Anolis sagrei: one gene and its partner. Each later gene encodes a partner of the first gene's protein in a complex. Links are inferred from orthologs where the notes say so. Each region holds a gene or a part of one and is shown on either strand. Other genes may lie near its edges.

Region 1 (7,221 bases):
TTGAATCTGTGATCTGTTGGTCTTCAGTCCTGCTGGCACAGGGGTTTAATAGTAAAATATATATAGATTCTGGTGATATTTCACATACATCCCCAAGCCACAACATTTGACTGGGTTTATTGCCTCAAGAGTTTCAGAAGAAATCTGCAAGACTGCAATTTCCTTCATGGGAAGGTAATACATTATTCATAGTATTTTAGAGACTTTGCCAACATTTGCTGACCCAAAACTGATTTTTCCTAATAGTGAATGAAAACATCAGAACTTTCATGCAGTTACACTGACAGGTTTGTGTTAATACATATTTGATTTTTTTTCCTATGGAAGAGAAAGCAAATGCTATTTAAATTAAGAAAATGAGTTAAACAACCTTTTCATCAGATGGTCTGACTTGGACAGAATAGAATCAGGTCCAACTACACAACACTTAGGAAATCTGAGTTTGCAATTCATGTTTTTGCTTAAATACAGCTGCAGGTATCCAAATTCCAAGTAATGTGCACTGTGGCCCACTATGCAAACAGAAATGATATACAAAGGTATTTTTCAAAAATTCTTATTACATAAGAAATTTTCTGCATTTGAAGAGTGTAGAAGAGCTTGGAAAAATTACTTTTTTGGACCACAACTCAGAGCCCTCCTGGTTTTTTGTTTTTCGTGTCAGGAGCAACTTGAGAAACGGCATGTCGCTTCTGGTGTGAGAGAATTGGACATCTGCAAGGACGTTGCCCAGGGGACGCCTGGATGTTTTGATGTTTTTACCATCCTTGTGGGAGGCTTCTCTCATGTCCCTGCATTGAGAGCTGAAGCTGAGAGAGGGAGCTCTCCCCAGATTAAAATCTCTGACTTGTTGGTCTTCGGTCCTGCTGGCACAAGGGTTTAACTCATTGTCTCCCTGGTGGCCACACTGGTTTCTGGGGGATTTTGGGAACTGTAGTCCACAATGATAACGTTTCCTAACTCTATTATCTAGTTAAGCATCCTGCTTGCTGCGCTGGATAACCAGATGTTTCCCAAAGAAACCACAAAGGAGAACTCAGATGCAACACAATTTTTCCACTTCACTTCTGAAAGGCTTTCTCCATATTCATCCTATTAATAGACTCATCTATACAAATAAAAGTGAAAATACGTACGCATGTGTGTTTGTACCTCAAAGGCTTCTATGTGGCTTGATGGACCTGGGCCAAACTTGGTACACATACCCTTTATTTCCCAAATTAAAATGTTAGCAGCATTTAAGCTAAAAACCCTAACCCTTTCAAGGCTCCAATCAAGGAAATTTGGCCTCGAATCTCCTGAGAGGCAGGCTTGTTGCTGACTCCCGATGCTCCCATGACATCTCAATTCTTGCATGACACCCGGTTTCATAAATTAAACAGGTATTGTGTGTCTGCACTTAACTTACAGGTTTATTGAATGGGTGTGAGTCTTAAGATAATAATTACCAATCACGCAAAGGTTTCAGGTTCAATGCAGACCAGATCCAGGTAGAGTTAGGAAACAATTCTGTCCGAAAGTCTGGAAAGAGGCTGTCAGACAGGATAACAAACAGGCCTGACTCAGTATAAGACAACTTCCATTGAACCTGAAGATGCTCTCAGGCGTGAAAGCTGAATAAACCAAGGTATTCAAATACTTCAATAAAGAATGAATTGCAAAGCGAAATATTCCATCCATCCATTTGATTAACAACCATTACAACCCCAAGCTTGTAGCTTGAAATTCAGGTTTGAATGCAGCTTCTTTGTTTAGCAAAACGTAGTTAGATTAGGACTCTGGAGACCAGACATGTTCCGACATGTAAACCTACTGGATGACCTTGAGCAAGTCACACACTCTCAGCCCCTGGAGGAAGGCAATTGCAAACCCTCTCCAAACAAACCTTGCAAGGAAAGCCCTGTGATAGATTCACCTAAGATGACAGACAAGGCAGAAATTCCTGGAAAGGCCCTCAACAACAGTCCCCAGGCTGCACATGTTTGGTCTACAGCTGCAGGAAAGTTGCCTATTACATTCTAATTTTTTTTGTAGTAGTAGTAGTAGATAAACATATTTGGAGGACAGGCCTGCTGGAAATAACAGATCAATCAATCAATCAATCAATCAATCAGAGACTGAGGCTGGTAAACAGAAGGGCACAAATGACATTTTTCATATCACCTTCATCTCTTACAATCCTCTGATTGTGGATAAAGGTAAGGGGGAATACTGCGTTATCTGGATAAAAAGTGGGAAGAATAACAAGTGAATGATTTCTGTAGTAGCACATACAGGAAGTCCCCAAGTTATGAATGGCAGGTTTGATCTTAAGTTGAATTTGTATCTTAAATTGGTGGTGCAGTGGGTTAAACCACCGAGCTGCTGAACTTGATGACCAAAACGGTTCAAATCCAGAGAGTGGAGTGAGCTCCCACTGTTAGCCCCAACTTCTGCCAACCTTGCAGTTCGAAAACATGCAAATGTGAGTAGATCAATAGGTATTGCTTCTGTGGGAAGGTAACGGTGCTCCGTGTAATCATGAAAAGCATGGAAACAAATCCTGGAAAGTTGTAGTTTTACAAGGTCTATAGCAGGCATGGGCCAACTTGTGCCCTCCAGGTGTTTTGGACTCCAACTCCCACCATTCCTGACAGCCTCAGACCCTTTCCTTTTCCCCTTCAGCTGCCAACTCCCACCATTCCTGAGGCTGTCAGGAATGGTGGGAGTTGGAGTCCAAAACACCTGGAGAGCCCAAGTTGGCCCATGCATGAGTTATCTCGACCTACTAATTTACATATGGTTTCTGACTGGCCAGCCTCAGCATTCGAACATTCTTAAGCAGCTGCGGGGGGAAGCTCCAGTGTGGCTGCACCCCGAGAGAGGCCACCAAAAGGGCTCACCAAAGCGCATCCAGTCGTAGTCGTGGAGGCAGTCCATCTTCTGGCAGAAGTCCTCCAGGACCCAGGCGGGGATGCCGTGGATGTATTCGGGGGGGTCCATTCCCTCCTCGCCGCCTTTGGCCATGGGGATCCCGGCAGAGAGAGAGAGAGAGCCTTCTTTACAGACTCAGAGAAGAGTTGGAAGAGACCCCAAAGGCCATCCAGACCAACCCCTTCAAACTCAAGAGAGACGCCTCTGCCGCCTTCCTCTTTGGAAACTCGCCTTTCCAGCTCCTGCTCCTTTGGCCGCCCCGCAGGGGCTTTCCCGGGTCTCGCCCCGCCCTTCAGACGTGACGCGTGTCCCTCCACTCCTGACGCAAAGGCGCTTCCCGCACTTGGGGGCGTCTCCACTGTAGAATCAATGCGGGTTGACACCGCTTCATACTCCCGTGGCTCAGTGCTTATGGATGCTGGGGCCCCTTCCACACAGCTGAATAAAACCCCACATTATCTGCTTCGAACTGTGCGGACTCAGATAACTCAGTCTAGAGCAGATATTGTGGGATTTTTCTACCTTGATATTCTGGGTTGTATGGTCCCAAGAGTTGTAGTTTGGTAAGCCTTCTTTTGGACAGAGAAGGCTCAAGACCTAAAACTACAAATCCCATGAGTCATGGTAGTTAAAGTGGTGCCAAACCTCATTAATTCTACATTCTTCAGGGCCCTTCCAACACAGCCCTATATCTCAGAATACCAAGGCAGAAAATCCCACAATATCTGCTTTGAACCGGGTTATCTGAGTCCACACTGCCAAAAAAATCCGGTTCAGAGCAGATTATGTGGGATTTTATTCTGCTGTGTGGAAGGTCAGCAGTCATTTATCTAAGGGGTGGAGTGACAAAACGAAGAGCCAATCATATTAGGTTATTTGCCCCTCCCTTTCTGTCCTCTATGACGTCACTCATTTGAAGTCAAAAGTTTTGGGGGTTTTTTAGGCCTGGGTAACAATGGAAAAATTTGTTTCTAAAATTGATTCATTTTTTTGGGGTTTTTGCGTTTCGATATTTAAAAGAATTCCGAAATTTTTCTTTTAAAAAGTTCAATATTTACGAAATTTCGTAAATGTTAAAAAAATTACGAAACATTAACGAAACAAATAACAATAACGAATCGATTCGTTAATGGCGGTCGCGACCGCGCAATACGCTAAAATACCTCCAAATGGGACAGGGGGAACTTCTGAAGCTTCCCTCTCCCTCTGTTGTTGACTGTTGGTGTGATATTATAATTTTTTTTCACTAATTAAACAAAAAACAACTATAAAACTTGCCCCAGACATGCAGAAATAATAACGAAATGACCTCAAACCGATAATGAAACGAATACATAACGAATCAAGAAGCATTTACGAAACGAATTTAAAAATTTGTTTCATTTTTAAGTTGCTCCAGAATGGTTCGTTATCGCTTCGTTATAAAAAAAATAACGAATTTTTAACGAATTACGAATTAACGAAACGAAACCGCCCAGCCCTAGTTTTTTTACAGCCAAAACAGGAAGGGAATAAAAAAAATTCTTCTCTGATTATATGCGCCACGAGCTATCTTGAAAAACTTACTTATATTTCTTGGCAGGAAATACAATGAACTTCTGCAATGAGGCAACTTCACTCTTACTGATAATCATAACTGGGAAGAGACAGACAAGTGTGTCCGAACTATGTATTGTACCACTGGTTTGCTCATTTATCTTCCGAAAATAGGAATTATTTGTTCTGACATTTTATGCAGGATCAAAAAACGTATACATTGCATGCTGTTATCCCCCCTATTTGGACACTCACCTGGGAGTAGAGATGGTGACAATAAAGGTGTTTGAGCTAGGTGTCCCCACCATATGTATTTATTTACAGTATTTATATTTCGCCCTTCTCACCTCGAAGGGGACCCAGGGCAGATCAGAATGCACACATGTACGGCAAACAATCCATGCTGCTTTTAGACATACAAGACATACAGACAGATAGAAGTAATTCAGCATTTTTTTTCCAACTTCGGCTCCTGAAGGTTGCTCGATTCCAGCCACAGAGGGAGCTGTCACTTCATCCACTATGACGCTGTGCGTTTGATCGTAGTATTTCTTCTTTGATCTGTGGCATTTTTATGGTGTTATAAATTAACCTCCCCGCTTTAAACGGTCCCTAATTTTTCTACTCACAGCTCAGCTGTTTTTGAACTGCTTAGGTGAACAGTAAGCTGGGTTATTAACAGTCAGGAGCTCAAACCCAACTCGGGCTTTGAACTTGCCACCTTCCAGTCGGCAGTGATTTATTGATGCTAGTGATTAACCAGCTGTGCTACAGCCTGGCCCTATATAACAACAACATTTTATTTATGTACCATCCTAAACGAGTGAACAACAACAAAATCTCCCCAAAAGGATGGTATATAAAGTATTATTAATTATTTATTATTATTATTATTATTATTATTATTAATTTTACTGACACAAAAGTACAGTATGTCACAGCAAATGAGATCTATATGCTGGATTTCGTATCAAAAAATCACAAGTCAAACACTTCCCAAGCGTCTAGGACGGTGTGATGTATTTTCGAATGATGTGCAAAGATCCAAGTAAGGTGGCCTTTTGTAGTTGACAGATAGTGATTTTGTCAATGTTTATTCTTTCCAAATGCCGGTTGAGATCTTTATTATTATTATTATTATTATTATTATTATTATTATTATTATGACACAGTAAACAAGATATATACACTGGATTTTGTATCACAAAATCACAAGCTGAACACTTCCCAAGTGTTTAGGACTGTGTGATTATTATTATTATTATTATTATTATTATTATTATTATTATTTGATACAAGATTAGTACTCGGAAAAAAGATCACTATGCTCGCTTTTGCATTCGATTATACGTCGGGCACTTCCCAAGTTTCTAGGACTGTGTGATGTATCGGCAAATAATGCATGCAGGTCCGAGTAGAGTGGTCTTTTGCAGCTGACACATGATAATTTTATCAGCGCCGATTGTGTTTAAGTGCAGGCCAAGGTCTTTAGGTACTGCACCCAGTGTGCTGATCACCACTGGGACCACTTTGACTGAGTCTTTGCAGTTCTATCTTTAAATCTTCATATTGTACAAGCTTTTCCAGTTTTCTTGTCAATCCTGCTGACACCTGGGATTGCAACACTGACAAATTATTATTATTATTATTATTATTATTATTATTATTATTATTATTTTACTGACAGTATGACACAGCAAATGAGGCATATTTGCTGGATTTCGTATCAAAAATCACAAGTCAAACACTTCCCAAGTGTTTAGGACTGTGTGTTGTTGTTGTTGTTGTTACATGGTGGGGACACCTAGCTCAAACACATTTATTGTCACTATCTATAGAGAAAGACTATATCACCCTAAATGCATGGATATTTAGTTGTTACTTCCCACAGCACTCAATCAGGCTTATTTTTTAGTATGTTTAGATTGCAACTTCAATGGAGATGCTTAAAAAACAATAATCATGAATTTGCAGTTCGACATTGCCAGAAACAAATATGGAAATTGTACAATTTATAGAAAACGGGTATCTACTGAAGGATCCCGTTGTTTTGAGATAAGAAAGTAATGTAACTTAAGGCAATGCAGAAGAGAAAAGTAGGAAGGAGCCAGCAAATCCTCTCTGTATCACTGCCCCATCCAAACATCCGTTAAGGAGAACAATGCTGTACTACTCTGAAAATAAAAGGAATGTACTTAACTCAATTGCCAAACAGGAAAAGGTAAAAAACATCTGCCAGCAGATTTCATGACTACTGGGACTATCTATCACCATTGCTTACAGAAGTTAGGCATGTCAGCACGCAAAGGGATCTTCTACCATCTTAGAGCCTGGGTGCATCCATTTAATAGAATGCAGTTTGATACCACTTTAACAGGCATGGCTCAATGCTATGGAAGCCTAAGAGCTGTAGTTTTACAAGGTCTTTCGCCTTCTCTGCCAAAGAGTGCTGGTTCCTCACTAAACTATAGGATCCACAGCAAGAATCCACAGCATGGAGCCATGGCAGTTATAAGATGCAGTGTAGATATATCCTGAGTAAACTAAGTTGGTAGCATATGCTTCCACCAACTACTGACTGGACACCATGTTTAACGGCAGTCTCTGAGGATGTAACATGAGCACCTGCTTGTCCGATTTTGTTGGATTCATTTCAACTAGTTAAACCCGAGGATGTGGACAAGATACTTGGAGGAATGAGAGCGACCACATGCATCCTAGACCCCTGCCCATCCTGGCTGATAAAAGAAAAGACAGAGGAGGATTGACCAA
Region 2 (7,950 bases), on another chromosome or scaffold:
TAAACTACCAATTTCTACAACCATGAAGTAACAATACAACATATGGATGCCTCCAAGGTCCCATTCACATTGCCATACCTGGCTGTGGCACAGCTAGTTAGTAGCGAGCTGCAGTAAATCACTACTGACTGAGAGGTCATGAGTTCAAAGCCAGCCTGGGTCAGAGTGAGCTTCAGGCCATTAGTTTAGCTTGCTGTTGACCTTTGCAGCCCAAAAGACAGTTGCATCTGTCAAATAGAAAATTTAGGTACTGCTTTATGCGGAGAGGCTTATTTAACTAATTTACTTATTTAACTAATTTACAATGCCATAAAACCTTCCAGCAGCATGCAGAAGCATGAGAAAGTACTCCATCAAAAGACTCGGTGTCACAAATAGACAGTGAAGCAGCACAGCAGCCCCCCGCCCCCCGGCCGGTGGCCAGAATTGAGCATACCCTGATGAAGCTGGAAAAGCTGGAATGTTAAATTGCTTCTGTATCTGTCTATATATATTGTATGTCTAATTGACATTGAATGTTTCCCATGTATATGTGCACTGTCATCTGCCCTGAGTACCCTGCAGGGTGAGAAGGGCGGAATATAAATACTGTAAATAAATAAATAAATAAATAAATAAATATAACAGTGCAAAACTTCATTTTATGGTCAGAGTCATACAATGCAGTTCAATGAAGTTAAACTGCATTATATATGTATCCATTCACCACATAATGCAGTCTGAAACGTTGATAATATAGATAAGGCCCAAGATTTACCAATAACACTATGTAACAAAATTTGAAAAAAATATTCTGTTTCTGGTTTGAAAGAGTTATTTGTTGTTTAATTGTACGCTAATTACTTTGAAAGTACTTGCTATACTCCAGAAACGTTTTTTGTGGTTGCCACAAACTATGTTGAATTGGTTAGAAATCTATAGAGATAATTGAAAAACTATAGCAAAGTGTGCTGCAGGATGTCCCGCAAAAACAGTTTTTGCAGTTCAATACACTTTCCCCATATTTCTATGATAGAACCAATTAGGAAATGACATTTATAACTCAGGAATATAAACTGCATTACATAATGTAAACCAAGCAATTTGCTCCCAAACTGATAACATTTAAAGGATTATCCATCAATTAGAATATATTTTAACACAGTTCCCAGATAAGGTAATATTATGCTTATCAGGGAGAGGTGTTGAGAGAACAACTGATATACAGTGGAGTGTTGTGTGGTTTTCGGGCTGTGTTCTAGTGTTGATATACACAATATAATGAACTGGTGGGCACTATAAAGCTTTTCCTGGGGGAAAATCCAGAGGGGAGGGAGAAAACCCTTTCTGTATTAAGAAAGAAAGTCTATTGTCGAAGGCTTTCATGGTCAGAATCACTGGGTTGTTGTAGGTTTTTTCGGGCTATATGGCCATGTTCTAGAGGTATTCTCTCCTGATGTTTCGCCTGCATCTATGGCAAGCATCCTCATAGGTTGTGAGGTCCTCTAAGGATGCTTGCCATAGATGCAGGCGAAATGTCAGGAGAGAATGCCTCTAGAACATGGCCATATAGCCTGAAAAAAGTACAACCCAAAGAAAGTCTAATTTTAATGAAACCTGGCAAAATCTTTAAATGACAATATATATATCATAGAAACCAGTGTGGTGTACTGGTTTCTATGACTCTGGAGATCACAATCTAAATCCACACTTGGTCATGATGCCCACTTGGGTGTCTTTGAACAAGTGACACTCTTTCTTAACCTCAGAGGAAGGCAAGCACAGATCACTTCTGAAATGCTGTTGCCAAGAAAATCCTGTGCTAAGTCCGTCTTAAGGTCACCATAGATTGGAAATGACTTCAAAGCACACAACAACAAGGAGGCTGGATTCTGATCCAGATAGTGGGAGCCTGCTCAATGAAAGGAGCCAAACAAGTGGCAGTTTACTCCACAGTGCTTAACCAGAGCAAGCAACAGTGTCCACAGATAGATAGATAGATGCACACACACACACATACATACACACCCTTTTATATAACTAACAGTTGTTATGATTATTTCTTAAAGGTTAAAGATCCCTTTGACATTAAGTCTAGTCGTGTCTAACTCGGGGGGGGGGGGTGCTCATCTCCATTTCTAAGCTGAAGAGTCGGCATTGTCCATAGACACCTCCAAGGTCATTTAGCCAGTATGACTGCATGGAGCGCCATTACCTTCCTGTCGAAGCAGTACCTATTGATCTACTCACAATTGCATGTTTTCAAACTACTAGGTTGGCAGAAGCTGGGCCTAACAGCAGGAGCTCACCCTGTTCCTTGGATTCGAATTACCAACCTTTCGGTCAGCAAGTTCAGCAGCTCAGTGGTTTAACCTGATGTGCCATCGCGAGTTCCTCTCAAAAGTTAAAGACATTTATATTAAAGAACTAGCCGTCCCCTGCCACGCATTGCTGTGGTCCAGTCTTTATATATGTTTTGTGTGTATATATATTTGCGTATATGTGTGTTTGCATATGTGTGTGTGTGTGGTTTTGCACATGCGTTGTAATGTAAATTTTGTTTTTTTAGCTTTTTAAGTCTCTTCTGCTGTGTTTTTCAGTATTTTTATGAGTAATGGTCACTTGTTGGCCTGATAGGTGTATGGTGTCCAAATCTGGTGTCAATTCGTCTAGTGGTTTTTGGGTTGTTAATCCCACAAACAAACAGAATACTTTTATTTAAATAGTTGTTATAACAATAATGTAATCGGTGCTAAAAATTCCATCTTAATTTACCATTTTATGTTAGGTGTTCGAATCGCCATGATTGTGCAGTCATGCACACTGCTCACACTGTTGAACCAAAGTCACAACGTTTCTCTTGTCATTTCACAACACTTCTCTAGAACATATATGGAACTCCAAAATCCAAAAATACTCCAAGATTCAAGATTATCTCATGGGTGGCTAAAACAGAGGCCCCTTTGCTTTCTGATGGTTCAGTGTACCCAACCTATGTCTCATGCACAATATTATGAAAAATAGAAATAACTTTGGGCAGTATTTTTTCATGTCAGAAATGATTTGAGAAACTGCAAGTCACTTCTGGTGTGAGAGAGGCTTCTCTCGTGTCCCCGCATGGGGAGCTGGAGCTGACAGAGGGAGCTCAACCCGCTCTCCCCAGATTCAAACTGCTGACCTGTCAGTCAGCATGTTCCGCCAGCACAAGGGTTTAACCCATTGCACCACTGGGGGATCATACTTCGGGCAGTGTATAAGGTGTACATGAAACATTAATGAATTCCATGTTTAGACTTGGATCCCAAAATATCCCATCACGTCCATATATAAAAACACAGGTGTACATAAAACAATAAAGAGTCTTATCCCTAATTAGGCTCAAGGCACCAGATGCTGTCTGATCTTGGAAGCTAAGCAGGGTCAGCCCTGGTTAGTACTTGGATGGGAGACCACCAATAATGAGTACCTGAGCCTGGGATTGGCAAAACCATCCTGAATACTGTTTGCCTAAGAAAATCCTACGATGCTATGCCATAAATCATTACAGAAGGGTGAATACATTTTGGAGAGACACCATAAATATAAAGGCATTTAAAGGGTTTGTGTGCCTGTTCTGGCTAAACCAGGACTTTACAATACTGAGCACAGCCCTGCTGTTCAAAGAAGAAAAAAGAGGGAGAGGATAAATGGCATAGCTCACCCTTTAAGGTCCCCGAAATGAGCCTTTCCCCAGCTAAAGGGCTCCCCCATTTACTTTCCCCTTTGGCTCCGCCCACTTGCTTCCCCATTTGACTCAACCTGGGAACTTCCCCGCTGTCACTTCCCTCTAATCTGGCGCGCCCCTGAGCGCTCCAATTCCACGCATGCGCATTAGCTCCTCTTCCCTTTAGGACAGGCCCATTGCGGAGGAAAGCGGGTGGGGACGCTTCCTTAAAACCAACAGAGAGGCTGATGAGGGGAGCTGCACTTCATTTTATCCCACACTTCTCACTTACATTGTGCTTTCTGACTCGTAGAGAGGACTGGCTGCTTTGCTTGGTTTATTTTTTTGAGTTTGGGCCATAATGGTATCGGCCAAACTGGAAAAGGGAGACCATTCCGTTTCTCACTATGAGAGCCACCCCTAATCAATGACAGTGGTATAGTCTGCTCACTTGGCCACGCCTCCTAATCTTCCCCTGCGGCGAGTGGCAAATGGAAGATCCCTTTGGAGACTGGGATTGTGTTTGCAGAGGAGCCTTCCAAAGACATTTAAGAAAGGCAGGAGTTGGGGTATTTTTTTTTTTTAATCTGCGGGGATCTTGATCACAGAATCTGTACAGGTTGAGTATCCCTTATCCGAAGTGCTTGTGTTTGGGATTTTGAATATTTTTCTCTCTCCAGATACCTGCATTTTCAAAAACGTACATAATCAGACATCTTGCAAATGAGACAGAAGTCCAAGCACAACCATTTATTTCTGTTTTATATATGCACATAATGGTCTGCACAATATTTTTTTCATAGTATTGTTCATAAAGTTTGTGTGTCCTGAACCATCAGGAAGCAAAGGTGTCACTATCTCAGCCAGCCATGTGGACGAGTTTGGACTATTTTGAATCAGGGTGGCTCAGTTTGTATTCCTAGTCCTCCCATATTTATTTATTTATTTATTTATTTATCAGAAACGAATTGAGGATACAGTTATACTTAAAAACACAAGCAAAGTTAAAAACTTGGCACTATCCTAAATGTCTTTTGACCAGAAGCTGGCCACTGGTGTCACTGTGAGAAGGTCCTCCATTCTGCATGTGGCAGGGCTCAGGTTGCATTGTAGTAGGTGGTCTGTGGTTTGCTCTTCTCCACACTCCACTTTGTAGCCCCGTTTCTTAAGGGTGGCTCTGCATCTCGTGGTGTCTGACCGCAGTCTGTTCAGCGCCTTCCAAGTCACCCAGTCTTCTGTGCACCCGGTGGGAATCTCTCATCCAGTTCAGCCATGGCTTGATTTTCTTGGTTTTAGCTTGCCTCTTTTGAGAATGCTAAGGTGTTCCTGCGAGTATCTCTGTAAATCTTAGGAAGCTATTTCTTGATTTAAGGCCTTAGCTTGCTGACTGATAGCCAAACAAGGCCGGAGATGTCAATGTCTTGGTCCTTTCATTACTGCCTGCTACTTTCTGACAGATATCAGGTAGTGCAATACCAGCTAAACGGTATGATTTATCCAGCAGAGTAGTGCGTAGACATCCTGTCATAATGCAGTATGTTCTGGAACAGCTGTTCCAGGAGCTCCAATTTTATTTCTTTGGATTAAATGTTGCTTTGCAATCCCAGGCTTGGGATTTTGCAGCAGGGTGGCTTCCTGTTATAATTTGCATTCATAGGGCAAGCCACCTGTCAATAATAGTTAGGATCCCTGGTCTCGCCCCTCTCTGGGTTTTTTGTAGGGAAGGGACCATTTTTCAGTTAGTCTCAAAAAGGAAGTCAATGCAGAGGATGTACACAAACGTCCTGTGCAAAGGCTTCGTCTCTTAAGACTTCCCGGGGGAGAACAGTTTTAAGAGCCTCTACAGATTCCCAAAGGGTTCCAGGGAAACAGCTTTACAGCCCTGAGGACTTCCAGAGGGAATAACAGCTCTGCTCATCTCCAGCTAAGTGATTACAGGCCTGTTGGGCCTGCTAGGTTCTGAGACGCAGTTCAGCCGGTAGTGGACTCAAGTCAGTTAGGTTTAGGTTCACAACAGCCTGGGAGGAGCTAAAAGGGGGAATTTTCCTTCGAGCAAAGTTTTGAAGATAGTGCCTGTTTCCTGTAAACAAGATTGCAAGAGCTAATAGACTGATAAGAAAGTTTACAATTCCTGTTTGTTCATTAATAAAGAACTGTTATATTTAAGCTCAAGCCTTATAAAGACTGCTTAATAAGGGGATTTTTTCCTAAAGGCTTCTTTTCGGGCCCCCTGGCTTCCCGCTGGATGCAAGCCTAACATCCTCTCTTAAAAGCACTTCATTTCGGCTCCAGCTGCGACAGAACACAGTATGTCTCCTTAAGAGCCACACCCACTGTTTTAGCATGGTGAGATGTATTCCACACTGGCCATGCATATTAATAATAATATAATAATCTTAATGATAAACTTTATTTATATTCCGCTACCATCTCCCTAAGGACTCGGTGTGGCCTACATGAGGCCGAGCCCACAATACATCAATACAAGCAATAACAACCACAATATGAAACAAAATACAACTACTAATACAAAGCAATTAAAATAAATCTCATACACAAATAGCATAAACATTGAACAATAGCACAAAACACATTTAAAACTATGGCTGGGCCAAATGTAATTAAGTTGAAAAATAATGCTGGGCATGAACAAGATAGAGGAGGTGGGGCGTTGGTGGAAACGAACAAGCAGTCCTAAATCAGTATAAAGTGCTAATAGAAGACAAAATGCTAAAGGTTCACTATTCATCAGCAGAGTAGCAAAGCGCAAGGGCAGATGTCTTCACTGTGTCTGGTTGTGATTCCCAGGTTGTGCCAGTCAGCTTTCATATGATATTATTTCTAGCACCCACTTTTTGCTTGATATTTCAGGTATTTTGGTGTGCTGCAATCCTCCAGTGGAATTCCTTCCCAGGCAGTCCTCAGAGATCAAGATGCTTGTCTGTTCTTAAGGTGAAAAGCACATGTCTGTGTCTTAGATGGATTGGGAATCAGCTGGTTTTGCCTGTAATAGGCAGTAAGAGCACCTAAACCTTCCATATTCCAATGGAGAGGGATCGGAAAGATCATTTCCAATGTATGGCTCTGAAAAAGCAGGGTATTTGTGCAGGAAGATTTGCCTCTCCTGGTTTTTATTTTCTCATCAAGTGTTCAAATCTTGGGCTATAGGTGTCAGAGTTTTATATTGTTTAGGTCATTTCTAAAGTGAAAAATGGGTAAGTGAGATTGTAAGAATCATGTCCAATCATTGTATGGTCAGCAACAATCAAGCCACCTGTGGGAGTTGAAGTACTAATAATAGAGACTAAGTACATTGTGTTACTCGAGGCTGGAAATAGGTTGGAGAAAGATTGAAGATTGGAGAGAGAGTTTGGAGCCCAAGGCTGAAGTTGCCAGAGGTGTAATATCATTACAACGTCTGAAGAGCAAGACTGTGGCGTCTTATTTGGAGATAAGGACTTTGTGTTTACAAGCCATTGTGTGGAAGCAGCTGAATATTCTAAGGATGCTGCTTCATTTGTAAATTCCTTCATATAAATATTTCTTTGCTAAAGGACAGTTTCTTTTTGTTGGGTTTTTTCCTCCTTGGACGAAGGGCGCAACTTCCACAGAAGGGGTTGAATGTTTGGAACCCCAGTTTGATAGCTGCAACAATAGCTTCCATTATCTCTGAGTCAGGGATGCTGACCATGCAAATAGGAGTTGATGAGAGTTGTGGTCCAGCACCATTAGCCCAGGATTAGTCAAATGACAGCAGCAGTTCCCAAACTCTAGTTCTCCAGGTTTGGGAATTAATGCAGTTCAACACCACTTTAACTTTAAATAATTAATAGTATATAATGTTTAAGGAACCTTGCCATAAGTCCAAATTGACATGATAGTAAATAGCAATGACTTCAGATTACATAGAGTACATTTTAAATTTTTAATGTAAAATAGGTATTAAAATATGTTTTTAAAATGTAATGGCTGTCTCTAAATTTAGCTTTTCACAGCCTATCACATCCCCGACATCCAGATAATATTCTGAGAATTAACTTGATCTTTTTTGTTACTTTTTCTAGACTATCTAATACTGGAATGGAAGAAGACTCTGGCACACCCGTAACACATGACTCTTCCACTTATGTGAATGATCATGTTGGCTTCTGTGGCTGTATCAAAACCTTTCCAAGTGACTTTGTTGTGACAGAAATTAATATGCATGGACAGTTGGTTAATGAGATTGCAACGGACTGTCTTTCTAAATCTGGCGGAACCTTGTCAGA

Evidence for each region.
Region 2: the proteins of IRAK2 (region 1) and IRAK4 are in contact, whole or in part, in a crystal structure (PDB 3MOP), measured with the Homo sapiens proteins. The link is inferred for Anolis sagrei from reciprocal best matches to the Homo sapiens genes IRAK2 and IRAK4. Residues at the interface, in NP_001561.3 of Homo sapiens: Tyr6, Ile36, Lys44, Met48, Glu59, Trp62, Trp63, Trp64, Gly65, Met66, Arg67, Gln68, Ala69, Gln73; in NP_001107654.1 of Homo sapiens: Asp24, Phe25, Pro28, Gln29, Lys34, Glu92, Phe93, Phe94, Ala95, Pro96, Ser98, Val105.

The regions. Positions count from the first base shown.
Region 1 is NC_090022.1:49,808,405-49,815,625, reverse strand, and holds the start of IRAK2 (interleukin-1 receptor-associated kinase-like 2), read right to left. Parts: upstream 3,218-7,221; 5' UTR 3,007-3,217; coding exon 2,883-3,006; intron 1-2,882. UniProt on the Homo sapiens protein: Binds to the IL-1 type I receptor following IL-1 engagement, triggering intracellular signaling cascades leading to transcriptional up-regulation and mRNA stabilization.
Region 2 is NC_090025.1:137,127,923-137,135,872, reverse strand, and holds the start of IRAK4 (interleukin-1 receptor-associated kinase 4), read right to left. Parts: upstream 3,186-7,950; 5' UTR 2,758-3,185; coding exon 2,755-2,757; intron 228-2,754; exon of another isoform or gene 79-227; intron 1-78. Other genes in the region: pseudouridylate synthase PUS7L, read left to right, coding at 7,763-7,950.